Linked DNA regions of Mus musculus: region 2 is reported to be linked to region 1. Evidence: microRNA targets listed by miRTarBase, many of them from high-throughput screens and not tested one by one. Region 1 holds a microRNA gene; the other region holds the end of a gene's coding sequence.
The links. Region 1 holds the annotated microRNA mmu-miR-26a-5p (UUCAAGUAAUCCAGGAUAGGCU, at 2,029-2,050, shown strand). A microRNA usually pairs through its seed, bases 2 to 8, with sites in the 3' UTR of a target mRNA and lowers its output. Matches are read on the target gene's strand: a 7mer-m8 pairs with bases 2 to 8, a 7mer-A1 pairs with bases 2 to 7 and ends in A, and an 8mer does both.

Region 1 (7,119 bases):
CCAAGGACAAATTGCTTTTCCAGTGGTAGTGACAACTGGCCAGCAGGCATTCATCTCTGCCCCCTGGTGGCCATCAGTGGTCCGTCCCCGTCCCCCCGTCCCCCATCCTGTCTGGGCTCCAGGCTGGAGTCTGAGCAGCCCCATTCTCTTGCCAGACTATGCCACCCTTTGCAGTTGAGGCAGGCAGGTGTCCAAGAGATTGGGCTAGATGCTGGAACTCCAGGACACTCAGGACAGGAAGAAATACTCCTTCCTACATGTTTATTTCAAGGACCCAAGGCCTCTGCCAGCATCCTTGTGAACTATTTCCTGCCATCGTCAAAACATTGGTCCAGGCAAGCTTCTTTCTTGCTACAATTTCCAATTTTCTCTTTCCTTTCATATGTATTAATCACAATTTCTTTTCTCTCTAGCCCATTAGTAATGCTGACTTCATTGTTCCTGTTGAAATCGACGGAACCATACACCAGGTAAGGAACCAGAGTTAGCCTGCAGTTCCAGAGAGCATTTTCTTGTAACCACACTCCCTGGGAACATCATTTTTTCAATTCTCACTTCAGTGGCCATTTTATTCTAACTTCAGGAAACAAACTTTGTATAATAAGTATAGTAAGCCAGGCATGGAGGCAGAGGCAGGCAGATCTCTTGAGTCTGAGGACAGCCTGGTCCACAAAGCGAGTCCTTGTACAGCCAGGGCTACACAGAGAAACCCTGTCTCAAAAGCTAAATAAAAATACTGTGAATGATTCTCTGCCTCATGCATGCATTTGCTTTTTACCGTGTTTATGAGGACCCTTTTCTGTTAATAAATATTAGGTATGATCTCTGATTTGATTTCAACTTTTAGGAGCCTTTGTGCAATCCCCTAGTTGTCCCCACCGCTGGCCGGGTTTGACATCTGGTCAACTTCATCATGCATTTGCTTTTGGCTTCTCCTAGCAACAGGAAAATGCCACCAGTCACCCACTGACGGAGCATTCTTGGGAAAAATGTCCACTTTGATGCCAACTGCTCCCGTGAGAGCTTCTCTGCCCATGTGGTTTTCTCCAGTGTCTTTTTTAGCAAATACTCAACCCAGAGCAAAGGGGAAGGGTGTGTTAAGACCAGCAGGGTGCTGTGCATAAATTGTCATCGTCAGCTGGCATCAATCTTCTTCCGGTTTTTGGGGTTTTCTGTTTTGGGGTTGTTTGTTTGTTTGTTTGTTTGGGGGAGTTGCTTCTTCTTTATTTTTTCTTCGTCATCAGCAAGCTCTTCTGGAAATGACTTCGTCTATGAATACATTAGAAACATGGTAGAAAAGCTCGCCTTGGAGGTTAAGGTAGATATAGTTTTGCCACATGTTTCTTAGGAGTGATGGGACAGACTGTCTCCCCCATCAAACTCAAGGCCTTAAGGGGAGAGTATCTGGCCTCATATCCCAGGAAGGGACAGACATTTCCTGGTTCCTGGGCCACACAGGATGTCATTTCTTAACGATGCCAATAAGGCTCCTTAACTCTTGAGTGCAGTTTAGAACAATCCAGGGCTGTGAAATCAGCTGTTTTAGCCATTCCGTTGCCCAGACAGAAGGTTATATATGACAATCATCAGGATAAGATTTCCTGACTCCTAAGCCAGGGCTCTTTCCTTAGACTTGGTTCCCCCTGTCTCCCTTACCCCCACCTAGCTCTCTATCCTGTCCTACAGGACATAGGACCTGGGAAGGTTTCAGGCACCTGGTCACTTACCATTCACAAAGCACCAACTGAATTAACTCCACCCCCGCCATGCAGTTAGGACCTCTGCGCTGGTTGTTGTGTCTAAAGTCGAAGAGTCCTTGAGGTGAGGCTCAGGAGGACTGCCCAAGAAAATAATTCTTCACACCACGTGGCCACAAGCACGTCCGGAGTGCAGGACCCACCCCGGCTTCCCTTGCCCCTTCTCTTTGGCAGTAGACACCCCGGGCATCAGGGCTGGGAGCAGAAACTCCAGAGAGAAGGAAGGTACAAAAGCTGGAGGACCGAGGCCCTGGCGAAGGCCGTGGCCTCGTTCAAGTAATCCAGGATAGGCTGTGCAGGTCCCAAGGGGCCTATTCTTGGTTACTTGCACGGGGACGCGGGCCTGGACGCCGGCATCTGGGCCCAGGAACCTCCTTTCTGCTAAAGGCGGCAACAACAGAGTTTCCCCCGTCCATCTCCAACCCTTTGCCTGTAGCCAAGCTTGCTGGCCAAGCAGTCCTCCCGGAGACTCAGGACCGGAGGCCACACCCAGTCACTGGCACCAGCAACAACGAGTGTTATGAGCAAAGCAGGTCCTGCAGCTGCTACAGCCACACAGCTCTGCCCTCAGCCTAGCCCAACACCCCAGCTCAGCAGGATCCTGGTGGCACCCAGGATAGACCACCTATATTCCTCTGGCCCCTCTCTCCACCCTCAGCTGCAGAGCCAGACCCCCAACCCACTCCTAAAGCTAGCCAGCCGCTTTCTCTCCAGGTCTTTGCCCTAGGAAGCGCCTTTTCCTGGCATGCTGCAAAGCAGTGTTTCCATCTAGGAAGTCTGTCCTGCAGTGTGTTTTCCTTGCATGGGGTGCAGTCTTGTGTCTCCTCTCCCTTTCCGCAGCCCCCTCCCCTGCTCTGTCTGCCCTTAGAGGCCCTGTGGCTTACTGCTACCTTTAGCTCTTTACCTTAACTGCTTCCTCCCTGAGCAGCCTCCAGGGCTTCTCTCACTGCCTATGGTTGGCTGTGGACACAGGCTTTGGCCCAACACAAACCCAAGTGTTGTGACGCTTCCGATCCTCACGTTCACACTTTGCTCGGGTTGGAGGCTCAGCTCTCTCTCTCTCTCAGCGTGTGAGCTCCTCTTTATTCAAGGTCAAGGCCAGATGTTGCTTTCTGAGACGCCCTCTGGAAGGGAGAATTATCTTGAATGAATACCCCACTGTGAGATTTCTTGTGTTCACTAATTTCTGTCAGTGTGTGCTCAAGACTGAGTGAGCTGAGCCGGCAAGGCCCACCACACGAGTCTCCAGAGGATTGGGGGCTCCAATTCAGCCTTGTAGCTGAACTGAGCACAGCGCTGAGACCTGGTAATTATGTTTTATTTTAAAGATGTAGCTAACTTCTAGTGGAATTTACTCAAGTTTTAATTGGTCCCTCCCTCTGCCCACTGCCTCTCCCTGGCTTTGCTTTCTCTCTTCCAGTTCCTACACATTCCTTTAGCCTCCAGAGACTGCAGCCTGGGTGTTAGGTGAAACCAGCTGCTTCGCAGGCCTGTCTGGTCTGATCAGAAGGATACACAGAGCCCAACTGTGGGAAGCAGCCCCTTACCCATGTGAAGTGCTTTCTGTACCCCTACACAAGCAGGGTGACCTCCATGGTGTCCACTAGAAAGTTTTCAAGTGCATTAACCCCAGGGGGCAGGGATGTTCAGAGTTGGAGGCCGCAGCTAGTCCTAGACTTCCAGAAGGACAGCACCTAGGCTGTGGCCTGTGGCCACATAGGGGCTGACTCAGCAAGTGCCAAGTGGATGCATGAGCAACTGCGACTGGACATGGCACAGCTGTGCTCTGCTTACTGGCTCCGAAGATACTCAAGAACCTTGACGACGTGGTCGGCTTTCCTTTCTCTCTACAAGGGTTGAGACGCAGAACCTAGTGCAAGCTTCAGTAAATCGTACATAGGCCTGGCAACAGGAGAAGGGCCCCTTGGCAGTTCTTCCAAGGCCCACGCTGTCCCTGGATGCTATGACTGACAGCTCTTGTCTCCTCCCACCGCAGGTGTATGTGCTGAAGCGACCTCACGTGGACGAGTTCCTCCAGAGGATGGGGCAGCTCTTTGAGTGTGTGCTCTTTACTGCCAGCTTGGCCAAGGTGCGTCCTTTTCGTCCTGCATCCTGTGTCCTGCATCCTGCGTCCTGTTCCCAGCCGTCATCCCAACCTCTCCACCCTCCACCACACCCCCCAAGCTGCCAAGAGCCCTTTGTTAAGGTGGAGGAAGCTATTTTTACGGTGACAGGTTCCCACCCCAGATGCGATAGATGCAGGCCATGTGCACACTGCTAGGCTGAGAGGTTTCTGGTTACCATGGTGACTGGGAGCATTTGGAACAAATGCTCCATGAAGTTGCTTTATGCAGCCACCTGAAACCAGTTATCCACAGACAAAACCACAAGACCCGTCCATTGTGACTGTGGATGGATGCAGGTGTGGGGGAGTCTCCCTCACGCATTGAAGAGCAGCCAGATTTTAGAGTCCCTGTGTCCCCGTGTTTGATGGCCACAGGTTTCAGGGAGGAACAAGTTAAGAGGCAGGTGTCAAGTGTCACTGGCAGGCACAGAATGTTGGGAGTTCTGATAGCCTTGGGAGCTGAATGGTTTCTGGTAAATTCCTTTACCTCTGGCACATTGGTTTCTTCTTGTCTAATTGGGGATAATTCCATCTGCCTGTTAGAGTTCATTAAATGAAATGGCCCATGTGAACGGCTCAGCACAGCCCCAGATTCCCATCAAGCAGACGTTCATTGAGCCCTCACTGTTCTCTGGGCACTGCCATGGACACTGTCGCAGGGTAAACACTCCTGATGTTCAGTATTTACCATCATAAGCACCAATAGCATCCAGACAGGCTTCACAGGTGAGTTGAAAGCAGGCGGAGTAGACCCTAGCTCGCTCTCCCAAATCCTTTCTGTGCCGACCGTGACTCTCGCAGAGTCAGTCAATCCACTTAGCAGAGGCACCTGGGTCTTCATGGGTACCTGGAAAACTCTGAGTGGCCCCAGAGATGAGATCTGTGGTGTGCAGAATTCCGGGAGCCACTAGCAGCTCCCTCCCCCACGGCCTGCCTGGGATAGCACCCATCCTCATCTGCCTGTTGGATCTTCGACCCCAGGTCTTCAGCCCCACTCTGCTGGCTGGGGCATTCCTGGCTGGGTCTATACTCTATGCTGACCAAGGCAAGAGCCACACATTCTGCTCCACCAGCGTCGTCAGCCAGCCTCAATGGGAGCTGCTAACGAGTGATCCCGAGCCTGGGTTTTGATCTCATGTACACAAAGCAGAACACGGCCTCAAGGAAAACATAGTCGTCCCCAGTGGTGTCAAGACTAATTGCGTGAGCAGCTTCAGTGGTGCTCGTGACGCCGCTCCGGGATGCTGAGGAACCTGAAGTAATAAGCAGCCAAATAGCGAGCGAGCGGGAAGATTGCACCCGAGCGCCGGACTGAGGCTTGGTTTTTGTGGTTTTTTTTTTTTTTTTTTTTTTTCCTTAGCAAGATTGAAAACTCTTCCTAGGCAGGGTCCCCAGTGTTCACTTAAACATCCTTGTCTGGGCCGCTCTTCCTGGGCTGTTCCCACCTGCCCCACCATCTGTTTCTCTAGCCCTGCTTCAGAGTTATTCTTGCCTGCAGAGCCAAACCCAGTTCCCAGCTCGGCCTCAGCCTTCCAGCCCCAATGGTCAGGTTGGACTGGTGGTCGGGGTTCCAGCTCTGGCTAATGAGTTTAGCTCAGCACTCAGCCAGCAGCTTTTGTATACTGCCTCCCCGCCTCCTGCTGGGGCCTGCAGGGACAGCGCTCCGACTCTCAGACTGCTATGGTCTGCTGGTTTGTCATGCATCCTTTGGTTCATTCGCCCCTCTTGCTTAGTAGGGCACCAAGGAGAAAGGATGAACCCCCGTGTCCGGTGCCTGTAGTCTTCATCCCGGTCTTGCAAGCCAGGAGCCCCTAGACACTAACCTAAAAGATGATCGCCAGGACTGGAGAGATGGCCCAGCACTGGCCACCTTTGCAGAGGATCCAGGTTCAATCCCCAGCACACACATGGCAGCTCACAACTGTCTGTAACTCCAGTTCCAGGCATTGGATCCAATGCCCTTGCCTGGCCTCTGTACACACTGTATGCATACATGACGCCCACACATACATACATGCAAGCAAAGTACACATGCACATAGGTTTTTTTTTAATCGTATAAAAAGTATAAAAACCAAAGGCTGATTGCCACACTGACGGTCGCAGAGGAGAAAAGGAACCCTCTTTTTCCATCCGCGTCAACCTTCTGTAGACGGCTCACATGCCCCTTCGCCCATCCCTCAGAGAGTGCTCTAAGCTGTCTGGTCAGCAAGAGATGAAGCTGCTCCCCTTGGGATTCCTTAGAGCCAGAAGGACTTTCCCAGGACCCAGCCACAGTGCATTCTACTGTGGCCTTCGTGACTCAGCCTCCGTGTCCGCTCCCTCCCTGAAGGGGTTGCCAGCCCTGGGGCTTCCTGGCTGTGTGCCTCGCTCTGACCTCACTGCTGAGTTCAAACCTCAAGTGAAGCCTGCAGGAGGAAGTGGGGATGGGATGAGATGTGCTGTGTGCCTCCGTGTGTTTACTCCTAAGGCAGTGGGCAAACCGTGGGAGTTCTAAGTAGGCCTGGGGTAGGATGTTCTATGTCCTCCAGTGGATACGCTGACAGCTGTGAGGTAAATGGGCAAGGACAGGAGGCCCAGCAGGAAACAGGAGCCTCCCAAGTCAGGAGGCCTGGTCCTGGAAGATGCATTAGAAATAAAGGTGGGAGTCGAGATATTTTTGGAGAGGAAACTGATAAGAACTTTCTGATGGATCCTGTGGGAGAGAACTGTAAGAATGCAGTGCTTTCTGACACAGGTAGAGAGGGAATACCACAATCATAAAACGCTTCCAGTTATTTCAGGGCCTTTTTAAAAAGTGGTCCAAGAGGCTGACGAGATGATGAGGCGGCTCAAGGCACCTGCCACACAAGCCTGGCCGTCTGAGGTCAGTCCCTGGAACCTGCCTAAAGGTGGGAGGGAAAAGCAATTCCCTGAAGTTGCCCTCTGACCCACGGGTGCACATCATGGTGCACCTGTGAGCGTGCACGTACGCGACAATGGGAATTTTTAAGTGAAAGGCGAGTATGTCTGAGAAGAAGGTTTAGTTGGTATAAATATTGCTAAGCATCAGCAGGGAAGCAGAAAGCCCGTGTGCCCCTGCCGTCCAGCACTGGGGCAGCAGAGGTAGCGGGGACCCTGGGGCTTGCTGGACAGCCAATTTACCTGAATCATGAGCTGTGGGTGTAAGGAGAGACCCTGCCTCAAAAAATAAGGCTGAGAACAATAGAGAAAGACATCCGATGCTGACCTCTGACCT
Region 2 (7,110 bases), not on the chromosome of region 1:
TACCTCACTCAGGACAGTCTTTTATAGTTCCATCTATTTCTTTGAAAATTCCATGAAGTCATTGTTTTTAACAGCTCAGTAACCCTCCATTGTGCAAATTTACCATATTTTCTTTATCCATTCTTTGGTTGAGGGACATCTAGGTTGTTTCCAGTTTCTGGTTATTATTAATAAAGCTTTAAGAACATAGTTCAGCAACTGTCCTTGTAGAAGAATTGAGCATCCTTTGGGTATACATCCAGGAGTCTGACCTGTCTTTCAAGATAAAAATATTTAGTTAGTTGATTCCTGATAGTGTCTAAAGTGTGCTAGGAGAAGCAGAAAGAAGTGGAAACAATAAAGAAATACAGACAAAAGGGAAGGGAAGAGGGAGGGAGGGAGTAAGAAGTAAAGGTCAAGAAGAGAAGTCCATAGAGAAGGAATTAGGGAGGCCAGGAGTGGTGACATATGCCTTTCATCCTAGCACTCTAGAGGCAGAAGCAGGTAGATCTCTGTGTATGAGATTAAGTCTGGTCTACCTAGCCACAGGGCAGCTAGGGCTACATAGTGAGACACTGTCAAATCAATCAATTAATAAATAAGTAGCAAAAAGTGGCAAAAGGAAGCCTGAAGTTATTGTTTTGCTGGTTTACATATTTGGTGTGGTTGGAGCCTAGTCCAAAGTGGGAAAGGATGAGATCAATTCCTACTGAGCTATCTGGGTTTGGATCACGCCCCTTGCTCCTTTACCGTGTGTTACTAGCATCACAACCCTTACAGTCAGGCCAACGACTGGTTTTAGAAAGGGAACACTCAGGAAGACTATGAGACTCAGCCAAAAACATACACAGCAAAGAAATGGAGAGGCAGAACACACCATGTCTCCTGTTTCTCCTGGCAGAACACATTACAAGAATCCAGAGGGCTTCTGATCTCATCTTGCACAAAGTTCCAGATGTAGCAATGTGATGAAGTTGGTGGAATAAATATGTAAGGAAAGAGATTAGAAAGTGGAGTGTGGAGGCATAAGCTTGCAATCCCAGGATTTGGGAGATGGAGGCAGGAGGAACAAGAGCTTGAGTTGTCCTTGACTGCACAGTGAGTTTGAGACTATCCTGGGTTTTCACAAGACCATGGGAAGGGAGGAGAGGAGGGCAAGCAGCCAGACCTGGAAAGAACAAAGAAACGGAAAGGAATCTTATCACGGTGAGTGATGGGTGGGCATAGTTCTAGGAGAGGAGATTGGCAACTGTCAACAGGGAGAGTTAGAATTGAGGTAGCTGGAATAGGAGGCAACAGGGGTGAAGGCAGCAGGGATGTCAGCATAAAAGCCCTGTGTTCTTAGGAGTCTAAAGCAGCTGGCCAAGACTTCATGCTCAAATGATCTTATTTGGGAACCAAGCCAGGGGTTCAGGAAGTTTTGGCAAGCCCTGAAGCATGCATGCTTGGTGAGAGTATACTATTGGGGGTAGGGGACACCTGGCAGCCATTTTTCTTGTTAGTCTTTCCTATGCATAGACTTGGATAGGCCATGAGTAGCAGCAACAGGATCTTCCTGAAATGGCCATTTCCCAAGGTCTGCTGGCTCTGTCCCCGCTGTCGGGGCACCAGCCAGGATAATGTGAACCAAGAATGTGAACTATTCCCTTATGTTCTTTTAGAAGGGATCAACTTCCAGCATTCTGAGAAATCATTCTTAGCTGGGCATGGTGATAAACACCTACACGCTATTTCAAAGACAGAGGCAGGAGGACTCTATACAGAGATCCTGTCAGAAAGAAGGAGGGGAAAGGAGGGGAGAGAAGAGGAGAAGGAAAGAGAAATCACTCCTAAAACAGGTGGACAGACTGAGAGGCAAGCACAGCACTGTTGATCCAGGAAAGGCATCTTGATATGTAAATCTCTGTGTTCTGGGTAATTCATTCCCATTTCTTTCAGCCTCACAGCTACGGGAAAGTCCACAATGCCCATGCATCTCATCAAAAACAGGTTCAGCTAGGGGTGGAAACACCTATAATCCCAGCACCACAGAAGCCAGAGACTGCTGAGTTTAAGGACAATCTGGGCTACGGTGTGTCAAATGAAGGGTAGAATATAAGAATGTGGCTCAGTTGATAGAGTGCCTACCTAATAAGTATGAAGCCCTACTTGATTCCTAGGATGGCAATAAAATGTAATAAAACCAACAAAGATAGTAAAATCTCTGGCTAGGATCTCAGCCTACTAATCATTCCTGGCAGCACACAAGCCTTTCTTGGTTCTGGACCATCGCTCAAGAGTCTCTCCAACTCCTTCACTCTCCTGTCTTGCTTGTAAAGATCAAGCAACCACCACTTTTGACACGCATATGGTGTTACTGAGTCCATAAAAAGCCTTCACAAGGTCTGGAGGGAAGCTGCAGTGGTTAAGAGCTCTGGCTGCTCTTCTACAAGATTTGGGTTTAGTACCCAGCACCCGCATGGTGGTTCTCTAATGCTAGCTTTGGGAGATCCGATGCCTTCTTCTGGCTTTTTCAGGGACCAAGTACCCAAGTGGTAAACAAACATACATGCTGGCAAAACACCTATGTATAGAAAAATAAATTTTAAAAATTTAAGAACTTTTTAGAATACCTTCAAACTTCGCCTGTTAGAGCTTTCAAGCAACCTGTGTGACAGGTGGCTGGTCTTAGTCCTGTGGTTGATAATTTAACCCACACTTTAACCAATCTTGTTTTTTGAGATTGGTTTCGATTATGTAGCTCAGGCAAACTAAACTCACAGTATTTCTCCTGCCTCAGCCTTCCAAAGATTAGAATAACAGACATGTGTCACTACACCCAGATGAATTTTCTAATCCAAACAGCTCCTTTTGACTACATCAACAGGAGGCCTCATTTGTGAACACCATAACCATGAAGCAGGAAAAAACTGATAGAAAAAGGCTAGAAAAACATAATTCCAGGCACAAAACTAACATAAATGGAGGTTTCCATGACAGCTACTTTTAAATTTTGACAAGTTTCATAATGAATTTTCAAGATACTCAAAGGCTGTGTATAAAACACCATTTTAATAACCAAATATAGTTTTTAGCTCCTTGACTAGGAATTTGCACCCCAGTTTTAGCAAATGTTTGCATCTCAGTCATTTGAGAATTAGAGGTGTGTACCTCGGCTGAACTCATGGCAAACTCCCTTGTCCATGGCCTTCCAAGTGCTTCTTCCTGCTTCCGTCCAGCTGTGTTCTCTGGGACATACACACTTTGGTCCATAAAAGGACAAGTTAATTTGTTCAGTAAGCTCAGAGTGGACACTAATGTGCAGAGTACTGAGCAAGGGAATGGAAGACATACAAACAAGTAATATAAGCCAGGTGTGATACCCATGTCTGTAATCCTAGCACTTAGGAATAGTCCAAGGCCATTCTGGGCTATGTTAGTCCTTGTCTAATAGAGGAGGGAAGAGAAAACAGCCAGACAAACAAGTTGTTATTTGAACTGAGGAATGGGAAGACTCCAGAATTTCCACCTAAATGGTATCTTAAAGATTATTAAAGGAGTTTAAGAGTAGAGGTTTGTTTTTACTTCTTGGTGCTTGGGGAATCAAACTTAGGGCCCTAGTGCATGCTAGACAAGCACTGTACCTCTGAGAAGCCTCACCTCCAGAAACCTTGGAAAAAGGTGAAGGCAACGAGAAGGACTTAAAGCTTGAGGGGTGGATAATGATCCAGAGCTGTGCGCCTGTCAACACTGGACTTAGGAACAGCAGTAGGCTTGAGGCAGAAGTTATCTTTGAAGTTATCTGTACGACCCAAGCAAGGTGGCACATGCCTATAGTCACAACACCTGAGAGGCAGAGGCAGGCGGACCTCTGAGTTCCAGGTCAGCCAGGGCTACGAAGAAAACATCTTGAGGGCTGGAGAGATGGCTCAGTGGTTAAGAGCACTGACTGCTTTTTCAGAGGTCCTGAGTTCAATTCCCAGCAACCACATGGTGGCTCACAACCATCTGTAATGGGATCTGATGCCCTCTTCTGGTGTGCCTGAAGACAGCTACAGTGTGCTCATATATATATAATAAAGAAAAAAAGAAACCACCTTGAACCACCGCCCCCTCCCCCACATACAAAAGATCCATCTGGAGAAGGCTCTGCAGACCATACACCCAACACATTTCCAGAACAAAAGAATTACAACTGTAGAGGTCAGATCTCTGCAGACACAGATATATCATCCAGGCCTAACGAAGTCCAAGTGCAAATGGACAGCCCTACTTACTGTGACACTTCTAGGTGTAGCTGTTAACTTTATCTCAGTTGTGACTATCTCACACAATTAGGTGTTGTGTTCACTGCACAATCCCCAAGACTGCAATCTCCTTGCCAGTCTGAGGCATTTGTGGAAGTGGAGGAAGCTTCAAGTGGGGCTGATGGAGGCTCTATCGCTGGTGGTCTGCAGTAGGATCGTGTCTTTTTTTCATTTTCTGGCTTCCACAGGGTGAGCAGTTTCTTTTGCACATGCCCCTAATAAGCAGGCCAACGAACCATGGACAGAAAGCCGACAAAGAACCCCAATCCCTTTTTTCTTTCTTTGCCTCGTGTTACCTGTCAGTTAGTGGGAACTAATATAGTCCCTACAAGCAGATTTTTTTTTTTTTTTTTGGGTTTTTCAAGACAGGGTTTCTCTGTGTAGTCCTGGCTGTCCTGGAACTCACTCTGTAGATCAGGCTGGCCTCGAAGTCAGAAATCTGCACGCCTCTGCCTCCCGGGTGCTGGGATTAAAGGAGTATGCCGCCACCACCACCCGGCTACAAGCAGATTCTTAAAAATCATTTTGGATATTACTATACAGTTTTAGACACAGAAAGGATTAACTTTTTAATCACTGTAATAGGCAGGCAAAGGCAGGAGTTTGTGAGTTTGAGTTCAGTAGTCTCCTCTACATAGTGGGTTCCAGGACAGCCAGAGCTAAATTGCCTTATTTTCTGTGTATGAGTGTTCTGCCTGCAAGTTTGTCTTCATACTTCATGCCCATTAAGTATCTCCAGAGGCAGGAAGAGGGCATAAAATACCCTGGGACAGTAGTTAGAAATGGTTTTGAGCCACCACGTGGGTGCTGAGAACCCAACCTGGGTCCTCTGTAAGAGCAGCCAGTGCTCTTAACTCCTGAAGCACACCTCCGGTGCCCCTCACCCCGGGTAGTTCTTACCTAAAAGCTAGAGGGCTGCAGCTGACTTAGATCCTCACCCCAGCTCTCTTCTCCACAGGCAGCTCCATACAACTCTGAAAAACAATCAAATCTCCAACACGAGGCACAGGACAGTCTTAACTTTATTTATTGAGGTTCTTTTTATTTAAAATGGTTTGCAGTAAACAGAACAGCCCATAGGGGAGCAACTTCCCAAATGTTGCTTGCCCATGACCCACAGACTGAAGTCTGCTTTCATGTACTGATTTATTCCATATTTCTTCTAGTACTGGTGGTGAAGAGGTGACGAATGGAAGGAGGGAGTACGGCCAAGAGAAGGCAAGGATAAGGCTCAGTCTGGAAAACCCAAACTCTAAAGGGCCTCAAGTTCAACCAGGTAAAGTGTGTCACAGCCATTGGTCACCCAGCTGCAGCTAGTCAAGCATAAATTAAATACAACAGCTTTGCCACCTCAGCAGATGGTAACAGAACTCTAGGCCAAAATCTGAGCCTAGTGTGCACTAGGTGCCAACATCACAGATGCCACAATCGATGGAGAGTCTGGACAGCTCCCTTCACGCTGCTCAATGGGAGACCTAGGTTTTACCCCTCAGAGCAGTTTATCAAGCAGGCTTCATTTCCGTTTCTTCTCCTGTGTGCTGGTGAACCAAGAGTCTAAGAGTTTTTTGCTGTAGTACAGTTGCCAGGCATGAACTTGGACTGCCAGTACCAACACCAGGTACATGACAGAGACAGCAGAAAAACCAAACAGGAAGCGATAGGCCTTGCCATGGCGGTAGAGTTGCTGTGCCGCAGGGAACATCTCCATGCTGCCATAAATGAGGGGAGCGATGGAGAAGAGCCCCATGCTGATCATGGAGAGCACCAGGTAGCTAATGTTGTTCCGAGGGAAGGAGAGCAGGCCCAAGACAGAGGGCACAATGCTCAACAAATACGGATATTCCCACTGATAGGGCATGGCCACCTGATCATGTGACAAGAGCCTCAGGTGTCCCACGCTCATCTTGGCCACCAACAGCAGCCATATGACGAGATGCACGTAGATCAGCTTCTTGATTTCGTACTTGAGGGTCACACTGTAAGACAGAGCAAAGGGAGAAGCAACTTTCATTCCAAGTGCTCTGACCACCAACCGTATTCCAGGCATGTGTACAGGACACATGGATACAGTGTGAGTGATACAGCCTCAAACAGAGGCTGGGTCCAAGGGATAGAGAAGAAAGTAATTAGAAAATGAAGTGTAAAGCTCAGGTAAACACACAGAGCCTAAGCTATCCTGGGAGTAATCACTGTAGCATAAGGTGGAGGCCAGGGAGGGAAGGCTGTCTGTGTACAGGAGAAAGCATTTCGGCCTGGGTTCTAGACGAGTGGAGAGAGCATTCTATGCAGAGGCAAAAACATGCAGGCACAAAACACAGGGGTTTATGTATCTGTGTTTCAAGAAATCAAGTGGCAAGACACAGGAGAGGCAGTGACAGATAACTGCAAAGACAAGGCGAGGACACTTCAGACTGAAGAGCAGCAGCGGCCCCTGGTAGGCTGAGACAGAAGATTCCAAATTGGAGGTTGGCCTGGACCACATAGCAAGACACCATCTCACAAAGCCATGACAAGAATTCTGGGCTGTGGTTTAAATGATAGCTCTGCATCACAGAAACAAAGGCCAGGAGGCCTTGTAGCAACAAGGAACACAGCTCCTATTTCTCCAGCTACAGCTGTCACGTGAAGGAAGCATGTCTCTCTTAATCTAAATTCCCTAGGTCTCAAGCGTATCCTTTTCAATCTCAAGAGCAAGGTTTCACCTCTAGGTGTGCAAGACAAGACCTTGGGTTACAAGGTCTCCAGTAGGAAGGGGCCAAGGGTCCAGAGAGCTTGTCATCCTCTTGCACAGAGGTAAAGCACCAGCTGAAAAACTCAGTGGACTTAAGGAGGCAGTAATTCACCT

Region 2: miRTarBase lists Jagn1 as a target of mmu-miR-26a-5p. The part of its 3' UTR that is shown has no 7-base or 8-base seed match.

What each region holds. Positions count from the first base shown.
Region 1 is chr9:119,029,783-119,036,901 of GRCm38, forward strand. It overlaps Mir26a-1 (microRNA 26a-1), which reads left to right and starts at 2,014; the gene lies at 2,014-2,103. It overlaps Ctdspl (CTD (carboxy-terminal domain, RNA polymerase II, polypeptide A) small phosphatase-like), which reads left to right. Exons shown (of 8, transcript NM_133710.3): 5 at 414-470; 6 at 3,754-3,846.
Region 2 is chr6:113,446,389-113,453,498 of GRCm38, reverse strand. It overlaps Jagn1 (jagunal homolog 1), which reads right to left. Exons shown (of 2, transcript NM_026365.3): 2 at 5,270-6,241. The coding sequence ends at 5,779. Among named protein-coding and RNA genes, the nearest start is that of Jagn1, 7.4 kb to the right of the region's middle.